Linked DNA regions of Oryctolagus cuniculus. The protein of the gene in region 1 interacts with the protein of each later gene in a biochemical or structural test. Links are inferred from orthologs where the notes say so. Each region holds a gene or a part of one and is shown on either strand. Other genes may lie near its edges. The genes, in order: LRP1, APOE and DAB1.

Evidence for each region.
Region 2: the proteins of LRP1 (region 1) and APOE form a complex in vitro, tested with the Homo sapiens proteins (2 studies listed by IntAct, with this or other methods). The link is inferred for Oryctolagus cuniculus from reciprocal best matches to the Homo sapiens genes LRP1 and APOE.
Region 3: the proteins of LRP1 (region 1) and DAB1 form a complex in vitro, tested with the Homo sapiens proteins (2 studies listed by BioGRID). The link is inferred for Oryctolagus cuniculus from reciprocal best matches to the Homo sapiens genes LRP1 and DAB1.

What each region holds. Positions count from the first base shown.
Region 1 is NC_091442.1:59,825,300-59,829,015, forward strand, and holds part of LRP1 (prolow-density lipoprotein receptor-related protein 1), read left to right. Parts: intron 1-1,217; coding exon 1,218-1,349; intron 1,350-1,502; coding exon 1,503-1,637; intron 1,638-1,764; coding exon 1,765-1,894; intron 1,895-1,983; coding exon 1,984-2,110; intron 2,111-2,310; coding exon 2,311-2,462; intron 2,463-2,543; coding exon 2,544-2,668; intron 2,669-2,953; coding exon 2,954-3,331; intron 3,332-3,716. UniProt on the Homo sapiens protein: Endocytic receptor involved in endocytosis and in phagocytosis of apoptotic cells. Required for early embryonic development. Involved in cellular lipid homeostasis.
Region 2 is NC_091449.1:11,764,264-11,767,863, forward strand, and holds APOE (apolipoprotein E), read right to left. Parts: upstream 2,435-3,600; 5' UTR 2,392-2,434; intron 1,662-2,391; 5' UTR 1,624-1,661; coding exon 1,581-1,623; intron 1,293-1,580; coding exon 1,118-1,292; intron 821-1,117; coding exon 100-820; 3' UTR 11-99; downstream 1-10. UniProt on the Homo sapiens protein: APOE is an apolipoprotein, a protein associating with lipid particles, that mainly functions in lipoprotein-mediated lipid transport between organs via the plasma and interstitial fluids.
Region 3 is NC_091438.1:115,176,292-115,180,057, reverse strand, and holds the start of DAB1 (disabled homolog 1), read right to left. Parts: upstream 2,921-3,766; 5' UTR 2,857-2,920; intron 1-2,856. UniProt on the Homo sapiens protein: Signaling adapter of the reelin-mediated signaling pathway, which regulates the migration and differentiation of postmitotic neurons during brain development.

The DNA.
Region 1 (3,716 bases):
TAGCAGGGTTTTGGGGAGCTAGATGCCAGCCTCCTGGCAGAGGTGTGCTGTGAGCTGGGTTTATAGGAAGAATGAGTAGCATTGGGACGCACGGCCTGCAGGAGAAGGTTCTAGGCCCACACAAAGGGGAAGCTAAAGCCGTGCCCCAGCCCAGTGCTGGAGACTGTGCGTAGGGCCCTGAGCCCAGAGCGCTGGGCTGGGTGTGGGAAAGTCCTGGTGATAAGGCGGTGAGGTCGGGAGGGCGGGGCTCCTGCGGGTTCTCAGCTGGTGGTGCCTGGAAGTGGTGTTTGGGGAAGATTAAGCTGGCGGCAGCAGGGGAGCAGGAGAAACCAAGGCAGTTAGACCAGTTAGGAGGCTTTGGGGTAATCCCAGGGTGAGCAGCAGGGTCTGGGCTGAGAGTCAGAGGCGTTTCACGAGCCCCTGTTGACTGATTTATGGGCCCCTGGGAACCTCCGCCTTTGATGTGGGCACGGCAGGGAGGCAACGTTGAGGCTGCGGAACTTCGCAGAACTTCTCAGAGCCTTGAATGTGTCCGTGCACACCAAGAATTCTTCAGGCACGGACTCCAGCATTCAAATATCAGGAACATTAGACTATTAGAAATAAGCACTTCTAGTAAGCAACGTTAGGAGTAAATATGCAAGCACGGCCTGTAGCATTCGGGTTTTTCCCTCACTGGGGCCCCTTTGGGCGTTCATTTGGGGCCAACCTGCATGAGAGGATAAAGGCAAGGGAGGGCTAGGGCTACGCGGGGAATGGAGGGCTGGCAGCAAGCAAGGTGCTGGGAAGGTTTCTGGGTGTTGGAGAGAGGGTGTGGCCTGGACCAGTCAGAGGGAGGACAAAGAGGAAGCTAAGGTCAGGCGGAGTGCCAAGCTGAAAATCTAGATTGGAGACGTCCCATCCTGATTGTCTGAGCCTCCCCCAGGGCCTCTGTGGGGAGCCGCCCGCCTTGTGTTGTAAGGGCCAAGTGAGGGGAGAGAAAGCCGCGTCTCTGCTGCCCCCTCATGTCCGTGAGAGGTCCTGCAGGCACTCGCCCTCTAGCCAGGAGGACTTTCTTCAGCAGCGCCAGGCTCTGGGTCTCAGACACCTTTGGGTCAGGGGCGATGGCTGGGGGGAAGATACCAAAGAGGAAGCAGAGAAGAGCGGTGTGAAGGTAGCAAGAGCCAGGCTTCAAGGAGCGTCGCGAGGCCCGTGCCTGAGGGGTCATTGCCTTTCAGGCGTGGGCTCCTTTCTCCTGTACTCCGTGCATGAGGGAATTCGGGGAATCCCCTTGGATCCCAATGACAAGTCAGACGCCCTGGTCCCTGTGTCAGGGACCTCGCTGGCTGTTGGCATCGACTTCCATGCTGGTGAGACATTGGGTGACGGGGGATGGCGGGACGTGACCCAGGAGCTTGGGGACCTGCACTGGCCCCCAGCACCTGACACCTGCTGCATGATTCTGGCCCCTGGTCTTGCCCCCGCCACACCGGGTATCCTCACGTGGGCACCTCCACTTGCAGAGAACGACACCATTTACTGGGTGGACATGGGCCTGAGCACCATCAGCCGGGCCAAGCGCGACCAGACCTGGCGAGAGGACGTGGTGACCAACGGCATTGGCCGTGTGGAGGGCATCGCAGTGGACTGGATCGCAGGTGGGTGCTGGGGCGCCTCAGAGGGGATGGGAGAGGAAGTCGGCAGGGACAGATGGACAGCTGCAGGGGTCCCTGGGGCTGTGTGCGTGCCCCCCACCAACCTCCCTGCACCCCACTCCCTCCGCAGGCAACATCTACTGGACAGACCAGGGCTTTGACGTCATCGAGGTGGCCCGGCTCAATGGCTCTTTCCGCTACGTGGTCATCTCCCAGGGTCTGGACAAGCCCCGGGCCATCACTGTGCACCCGGAGAAGGGGTGAGCAGCTGGACGGGCTGGCTCGGGGCCAGCCCTGGCACTTTTGTGATCTGGGTTCTCACGCCCGTCCCCTTCGTCTCCACACACAGGTACCTGTTCTGGACTGAGTGGGGCCAGTATCCGCGCATCGAGCGCTCGCGACTGGATGGCACCGAGCGGGTGGTGCTGGTTAACGTCAGCATCAGCTGGCCCAACGGCATCTCCGTGGACTATCAGGTTTGGGCGTGACCATGGAGCCGGTGGGGAGAGCCCCGGCCAGTGAGAGAGCAGAGGGCAGGGGCCCAGCTCCCACCCAGAGCAGGACTCCTCTACCCCAGAGGCGACGTGCAGAGCAGAGGGACCCGGGGGACGGGCAGGGGTGAGTGGGGAGAGCAGGGGGTGGGGGTCCCGGAGTGAGGTGGCATCTGTGCCCGCAGGATGGGAAGCTGTACTGGTGCGACGCCCGCACCGACAAGATCGAGCGCATCGACCTGGAGACGGGCGACAGCCGCGAGGTGGTCCTGTCCAGCAACAACATGGACATGTTTTCCGTGTCTGTGTTTGAGGACTTCATCTATTGGAGTGACCGGTGAGGGCTGCTCTTCCGTGTGCCGTCCTCACCCCGTCCCTGCCCTGCGCGCGCCCCGCTCACGCCTCTCCCTGCCCCCAGGACTCACGCCAACGGCTCCATCAAGCGCGGGAGCAAGGACAACGCCACCGACTCCGTGCCCCTGCGAACCGGCATCGGCGTCCAGCTCAAAGACATCAAGGTCTTCAACCGCGACCGGCAGAAAGGTGTGAGGCTGGCGCTCTGGGCCAGGGCCAGAGCGACAGGGGCTGGGAGAGAAGGTGGAGCCTGGAGGGGTGCCCTCCAAAGGCCTGAGAGACCAGGAATGGGGGGAGGGGAGAGGCTGGCGACAAGGGCTGATCTGGGAGTTGAGGGATGAGGGCCTGGAGGGTTGACTGAGCTGGGGATGCTGAGGCAGAGCAGGCGCCAAGGTCAGGGTCCAGGTGACAGGAGCACCAGAGAGCCCCTCCCCCAGGCAGACCCTGCCCCCTGTGACCTCCCCCTCCCCCCAGGCACCAACGTGTGCGCCGTGGCCAATGGCGGGTGCCAGCAGCTTTGCCTGTACCGGGGTGGGGGCCAGCGAGCCTGCGCCTGCGCCCACGGGATGCTGGCGGAAGACGGCGCGTCCTGCCGGGAGTACGCCGGCTACCTGCTCTACTCGGAGCGCACTATCCTCAAGAGCATCCACCTGTCGGACGAGCGCAACCTCAATGCACCTGTGCAACCCTTCGAGGACCCCGAGCACATGAAGAATGTCATCGCCCTGGCCTTCGACTACCGGGCGGGCACCTCCCCGGGCACCCCCAATCGCATCTTCTTCAGTGACATCCACTTTGGGAACATCCAGCAGATCAATGACGATGGCTCGGGGAGGACCACCATCGTGGAGAGTGAGTGCCCGGGGGCCGGGGGGGCCGCCACAGACTCTCACAGCCCTCCCCTGCCCCACATCCGAATCCCACCTGCCGCACTGTCCCACAAAAGTGGCAGTCCAGCTGCGCTGAGCCCGCTGTCAGCTACATAAAAGTCTCCTTATTTGGAGTCGCTGTTGCCCAACCCCCCTCCTCCCTTGTCATCCCCTCCCCCATTCCTCCAGGGATGCCCAGAGTCAGGCCAAAGTCTGGAGCCCAACACTCACAGCTCCGGCTGCAGACACAAGCTGGGGTTCCACGCTGGCCCCTTAGGATCTCAGCAACTTGCACAGGCTTGCTTCCCTGGTCAAGCCTGGGTGTGCTGGGCTGTGTAGGGAGACGGGCTCCCCACCCCAGCTCCGGG
Region 2 (3,600 bases), on another chromosome or scaffold:
ACCCAGCAGCTGCTGTGGAGGTGGTGAATTTTATTAAGGGGGGGCGTCCACCGGGGCGGGGAGGCGGGGCGCGCGGGGCGGGGGCGGCCCGCGAGGCGCTCACTGGTTCTCGATGGGCGCCGCCGCGGGCGCCTTGCTGGGCATGGCGGCCTGCAGCTTCTCCACCAGCCCGGCCCACTGGCGCTGCATGTCTTCCACCAGCGGCTCGAACCAGCTCTTGAGGCGGGCCTGGAAGGCCTCGGCCTGCAGGCGCATCTGCGCGGCCTGCTCCTCCACCTTCACCCGCACCTCCTCCACCTGCTCGCGCACCTCGTCCAGGCGGTCGCGCGCGCGGCTGCCCACCTCCTCCAGGTGCCCGCGCAGCCGCTCGCCCCAGGCCTGCGCGCGCTCCCGCAGCGGCTGGCCGGCCAGGGTGCTCACGGTGGCGGCCCGCAGGCGGCCCTGCTCCAACAGCGGCCCGAGGCGCTCGCGGATGGCGCTCACGCCGCGCTCGGCGCCTTCGCGGGCCCCGGCGCCGTACACCGCCATGCGCTTCTGCAGGTCCTCGGCGTCGCGCAGCAGCCGCTTGCGCAGCTTGCGCAGGTGCGAGGAGAAGCGCGCGCGCAGCTCCTCGGTGCTCTGGCCCAGCATGGCCTGCGCCTCGCCGCGGTACTGCGCCAGGCGGTTGCAGACGTCCTCCATGTCGGCCTCCAGGCGCGCCTGCGCAGCCTGCAGCTCCTTGGACACGCGCGCCCGCGTCTCCTGCGCCATGGGGCTCAGCTGCTCCTCCAGCTCCGACTTGTAGGCCTTCACCTCCTTCATGGTTTCTTCCATCAGCATCCTGCGGGGCCCAGGGGGCGGGAGGGCGGGCGTGAGCTGGGGAGCCAGGGCTGGGTGCACGCTGGCAGCGACCAAGGGGCCCCAAGGACCAAGCGAGGCCCAGAGGAGCCGGCGAGGAGGAGGGGGCTTGGGAAGGTGCGAGACAGCCGGAGAGGTCAAACCGGAGTCAGGAGTGGGAAGAGGACGCAGGAGCAGGGCCCCCGACCCCAAGGACGCAAAGGCATCTAGACTGGCCGAGGGTGCAGAGGCGCCCCCCGCCGCCCCCCAGGAGGCTCCTGGTCAGGGCGGGGACACTCACGTCAGTTCCTGGGTGACCTGCGAGCTGAGCAGCTCCTCCTGCACCTGATCAGACAGCGACTGTACCCAGCGCAGGTAATCCCAGAAGCGGCCCAGGGCCAGCTCCCAGGGCTGGCCGGCCTTCCACCTGGCCTGCTCCGGCACCTCCACCTCCTGCTCCGTCTCGGCCCGGCATCCTGTGCGGGAGCAAAGTGGTCAGGGGCCGTGCGGGGTTCGGGCCGCGGGGGCAGAAGCGGGTGGGGTCTCCGCTCAGTCGGCAAACACTGATGGGCCTTGTGTGCATTAGGAACTTCAACGCCCATTTTATGGGTGGGGAAAGCCGAGGCCCGGGGGAGAAACAGCGGCTCAGAACCGCAGCAGGCCTCAGAGGTCTCAGCTCGGCGCGCCTCCTCCCCAGGACAGGGGGCTGGAGTGCGGGCAGGGGCCGCGCAGCAGGGGAACCCGAGAAAGCCCCGCCCCCATACCTGCCAGGATCGCCGCCGCCAACACAGCCCACCACACCTTCATCTTCCCGCCTGCGGTTGGTCAGTCTTGGGAGGAAGAAACTGTCAATCAACAGCGGAGGAGGACGGTCCCCTCCCCCCCGCCCCGGAGCCCAGCTCCGGCTGCGCCCGGGCCCAGGATCCCCAAGCCTCGCCCTGGCCCCTGTCTGTGACAGCCTTAGTCCGATCACAATCATTTCACCAAGCCGCCCCTGGGGGGCTGCACAGCTCCCGCATTGTCTGCTCCAGTCTCCCCATCCTCCGGCCGGCTCCGGGGCCAGAATTCCATCTCCCTCTCCCAGGGGTCGAATTCCACTCCCCCAGCCCCCCCACCCCCGAGCTTTCTGGCTCCAGGCTGGGCTTCTTGAGTTCCATGTCGCATTCCTCGTCCCGCCGTCACATTCTAAGCTCCAACCTCACGTCTAAGCCCTACTTGCCATGTAGGAGCTGATTGAACCACGGTTTTTAACAAGTCGGTCTTGGGACGTAGTCCCTGTTTCCCGAGACCCCAGTTGCGGAGATGGGGTGCCGGGAAGGACAAATAAGTGGCAGCAACCGCCCCAGGGCTCGCTGTGGCTCCAGCTGCTGCCCCACCCCAGCCCCAGCCAGGATGGGATGTCCCTGCCTGAGGTCCAAGCCCTGCTTCCAGCCTCAGCCCTGCTCGGCCGTCCTTCTGTCCCGACGCAGGCACAGGCCACCACGTTCTCTCCCACAGCCCGTCCCCAAGTCGCTCCCTTGCCCTTGGACCCCCCCTTTCCCTGGAGGCCCCTCAGCCCCCCGCTGTGCTGCTCACCGCCTCCTGCGGAACCTCGCCTGCACCTCGGCTGGGGCAGAGCAGGGCGGCAGGGATCCCTGACGGGTCCAATTATAGGGCTCCCCCTGCCCCGCCCCTCCCCGGGGCCAGGGCGGGCTGGGCCAGCCCCCAGTCACGAGGTGGGCTGTTCTCCCCCCTCGCACACAGCAGGGCGAGGAAGGAGGTGGGGCTTGGAGGCCCCGTGACCCCCGCCCCCAGCCCCTAGGAAGGGAGGGGCGCCTCCCTCGGTGTCCCACGTCCTCTCCACTGGGGTGCAGGCGGGGACTGGGCCGGCTGCTGCTCCAGCACGCCTTCCCTGTGCCCGGCTGGAACTTCTGGGTTCTGGGAATGGATGGGGCTTAGGACCCCCACCCCCCAGGGCCTGAATGAAGTCGGAGTGGAGTCTGGACTCCCGGCTTAAGTTAGGGCACAGCAGGAGCCCAGGCAGGGCTGGGGGCAGCGTGATGAAGGCCAGCGTCCCACGGTCAGGGTTTCTGTTCCAATTCCCTCCCAGGCGGTGCAGGTGCGAGCCTCTGGGACCCCCCCCCTTGTTTACTGAGATCGCAGCACCTGGCTGGCAGAGGTGGTGGGCCCGCCCGCCAGGAGTCACCCACACGTCCTCTTCCTTGCAGTTTGCAGGACTGTTGGGGCTTGCATCCTGGCACTGCGCGCTGCCAGCTGTGTGACCTTGGACAAATGACCTCCCCTCTCTGAACGGCCAGTTCTTTGCCTGCACAACCAGGCAAGCAGCGGCATGCGCCCCGCAGGTTTGGTGATGCAGGAGTGAACGGCGCGTGCCGAGGCCAGCGCCCTGCACACGGTGGGCCCACACCTGGGCAGCCTAGCGCGCTCCAGCAGTCACCTTCCCATGGGCTCCTGCCCCCAGCTGTCCCAGGGACTCAAGGCCCAGGGCTGGGTTGGGGGCAAAGCCGCAGCAGGCACTGGCAGTCGGCCCTGTTTCTCAAGGCGCAGGGGAGGCGGCCTCCCCAGGTAACTCGGGGACATCACCCAGCAGCCTCCTCGCCAGGCCTCGGGGCGCGGGTTGGCCAAGTGCTGACAGCGCCTCCTGCGAGGCGAGCGGGGCCGCACCCCTGCACCGGGACTGTGTCGCTCCAGCCCCAGATGCAGCAGTCCCAGTAGCTCTGCTTGAGGCTCCAAAATTCCAGACCCGCCTCTTCTGGAAATCTGCGGAGGCCGGGGGCCCAGTTC
Region 3 (3,766 bases), on another chromosome or scaffold:
TAAGAATTCCCAGAAACTGTGAGGCTATTGGTCATAACAACTTTGGAACACCTTTTAAAAGTATTCACCTTGCGCTAAGCATTTGCCTTATAAACAGAATGAGAGAATCAGATACGCTTATGGGACACCAGGCTTTCAAATGAATATTTACGTGATCTTGAGAAAACTGATTCGCTTTTCAATCTCAGCTTCTTTGTCTCTGAATCAGTTACCAGGCTAGACATAAAATTGTTTTGAAGATTTTAAAATGTGAGAACCAAGCATACAGACTTACACTTGACACGGAACAGGCACTCAACAGCAATTAATTCCTTTCTCCTGCTTTTCACTCAGAGCACTGAGATTCTTGAATCCCACAATATAAATATCCATATAAACAGATGTGTGGGAGATGGTGGGCAGCTGCTAGTGGCTGACGTCAGGGGAAGATTTCACCAGAACCCCCATTCCAATATCACAACAGGGGCCCTGCACCGGGCTTTCACCCACCGTGCCCATCACCACAATATTTTACAGGAGCATTTATTTTTTTTTTTAAAGAAAGTTCATTCTCAATGATGCATGTGATAAATACGCTTGCTTTAAACCTTTTAGAAATATTAAAGGTTTTAGAGCTCAGTGTTTGGCAGACTTGATTAATCCCTTCCACACAGACATATTCAGGAGGATGGCTGTGGTTGGGCTTTAAAGCTCTGAGAGTGTGCTTTGATAAAGGAAAAGTGAAAGATTTTTTAAAAAGAGAAGGGAGAGGGAAGGAGAGGGAGAGAGGGAGAGAGGGAGAGAGGGCGAGAGGGTGAGAGGGAAGGAGAGGGAGAGGGAGAAAGAGAGATTCTTGCGCCATACAGAATAAACAAAGAACATGAAGCCCCAGAATGCTGCAGTGTGATGGGTTCAGGAGGGGTGTAGAGGAGCAGTACTTTCGCCACTGTCTCCTTGAGAGTTTTTCCACGGAAAGCACACGTGCAGCCTGATGGCAGGACATTCCTCTAAGAGTTGTCTTCTCTTCTGGGTCCGAGAATGGATGATGTGGGAGGGGTCGCGGGAGCAGGGCAGACACCAGCAGTGCCAACTTCAGAGAGGACCCAGACAGAGTGTACACGGCCCCTTCTCAGGGCCCTGCCCCACTCCGCTGCCTCCTAGCTGCCCCTGCACTCACCTAGGCTCTTTCCTGCACAGCCCTCAGCAATCGTCCCACTGGATTGCTCTTCTCTCAAGAACAGCAAATACGTTTTAGCTACTTTTCTCCTCAGCACCTAACCCAGCTCTTGTATGTAAGAGTACTTCAAACCTTCATGAAAAAAAATTAAATGAAAACATGTCTGCCCTTTAATGCAAAAGTTTTTTGAAATTCATGCATAGTTTCTTTTATCAAACACATTTTTTCATGAACTTTGCGTAGAACCTTAGTATACTAGGCGTTTATTAAATGGAAAGAGTTGTGGTTTAATACATCCTTGGTGAAAATGTCTAAAAACGGGAGTAATGTAAATGCTGAAAATAATGCTTTCAAAATTATTCACAGATTCTACTTCCCTCCATGTGCACATCACAAAAGCAAACAGTTTAGAGGCTAAGCCCTTGAGAATTTCACACAGAACCTCATTCGACAGATTTACCGAGTGTCACTACTGTCCTGGGTGAGCAGGACATGCTTTCCAGCTCAGCATCCTGCCTGGGCAGGGAGACTAAGGAGCACTGTGATAGAGACCGCTATGAAGACGGACGTGGGGATTGTGCAGGACAAAAGGAACCACATCCCAGTTGTTTTGTTCATGCAGTGGGGGTGGGGGTGCCAAAAAAAAAGCTTTAAGAATGAGTGGCAGACGCATCAGCTGAATATTCAAGGGCGATGCAAAGGGAGACAGGGAAAGGATGTATTCTGTATCCTACGTAGCTTTCATCTTCCAACTTCCAGGGCTACTCCAAATGCAACATTTGCTCTGCTAATCCACCTCCCACACAGCATCTCCAAGTGTCAGCCCACAATGCTCTGAGGATTTTTTGACACCCAGTCAAACTCTCACCCTGACCCCTACTCTACTTTTACGGAAGCATTTTCCCAACACGAAACACCAACGTATTTGCCACAAGATATTATGGGGGCAAAGGTGTAATTCAATTATGTGACTTAATCAATTCAAATGGCTAACATACAGGAATCTCAGGATGTCATCCAGCTTTCAGCTAAAGGCGAATAATTGTTCCATAATTTCTTAATTCTCTCACAAGACAGTTTAAATTAAAGGATGTCAATTTGCAAAGCCAGACTGCATTGTATTCTTAAATTGGGCCTGAAATAGCCACAAGATGAAGGGTAATAAGGCAGAGAGCACTGCCCAGAGTGCCTGGTGCTGTGCAAAATTGTTTAATACGGTCAGACCCTTTAATCTTCATATCTATTGATGCAGAAAGCAGCATATTTCTGTCACTTATGATAAGAAACATTACTTTTTAAATTCCTTGGTGAGGCCTGCAGATCTCATGCAGCCAAGATAGCAAGACTCTCTATTGCTGTTTCTGTGAACATTTCCTTTTTCCCATAAATTGGTTTTATTCTAATCCATTTAGTCTCCAATCTAAGTCAGAGACAAGTAACCCTGAATGGAACCTTGCAGGAAAACAAAGACAAGTGCCTTTCAGTTCTCAGATTCCACTGGCTACAACCTCTTTGAGTAAACCGGTGATTAAACAAATAATGAACCTCAGAGTATTAACAATGGGGCAGGCAATGAGTTCCAGAAAGAAAGAGAAATGGGAATAGCTATTGAGAGACACAGAATCATGCTCAAAAGTTGAGGAAGCTGGGCAGTAAATGAATTGAACAGTTTTCATGCAAAAGTCAAGTGATTTACTTACAACTAGAAAACGGCTCCTTCAATGTGTCCAAGCTGGATGGGGATGATGCTGGGGAAGGGAGGTCCAGCGTCTAGACTGCAGGAACTGGATGATGCTTTGTCGAGACTGCCAGGGTCACAAGGCAGGAATCCTCATCCAGAGAAGCCAAGGAAACAGCTGTAGTGAAAAACAGTCACCGTCAATGCTGGAAGAAAATGAAAGAAGGGTGAAGTATGGAGTTGGTCATCCAACAGAGCTTGACGTGAGCGGTTCAGAGTGAAGCGTACCATTCTAAAGAGGCTGTGGGGTGTGTAGGTGGGCACAGGGCGAGGAGACGGATATGAACTGTGCTAAGCTCAACCAAAGGAGAATGGTCAGGGATGCCAAGCCTAGCAGACGCTAGACTACGAGGAGGAGAGAAGCAAAGCATCAAACACATACACACACGTACGTGTATGTGTGCTATATAATACATATATGCTATAACATATTTTACATATATATGCTATAATATTTAATATACACATGCTATAATTCAAAAGCCATAAATTATCCATTTTTCACTTGTATGAATCTATAGGATTACACTTTGCAATGAAATTATTGGTAAAGAATGTGGATAGTTTAATTTTGAAAGGTATTGTCCAATTACCCTACACAAAGTCTGTGCAATGTTACATTCTCCTTGACAGTGTGCAACAGGGGCACTTTTCTGTGCTTTCACCAACAGAGCTAGTCATATTTGTTTCTCAGGAGAGACATGAGGTATAAGTCATAATAATGGCAATAGTGAGGCTAATATTCAGTGAATGATCTTAGCATACAAACACAGCTTTTGGTCATTCTATGTGTTAGTCCATTTATTCCTAAGAGCAAACACCAATGTAGGTCATTAAGCAGACAAGAGAATAGAAACAGAGAACTTAGGAGA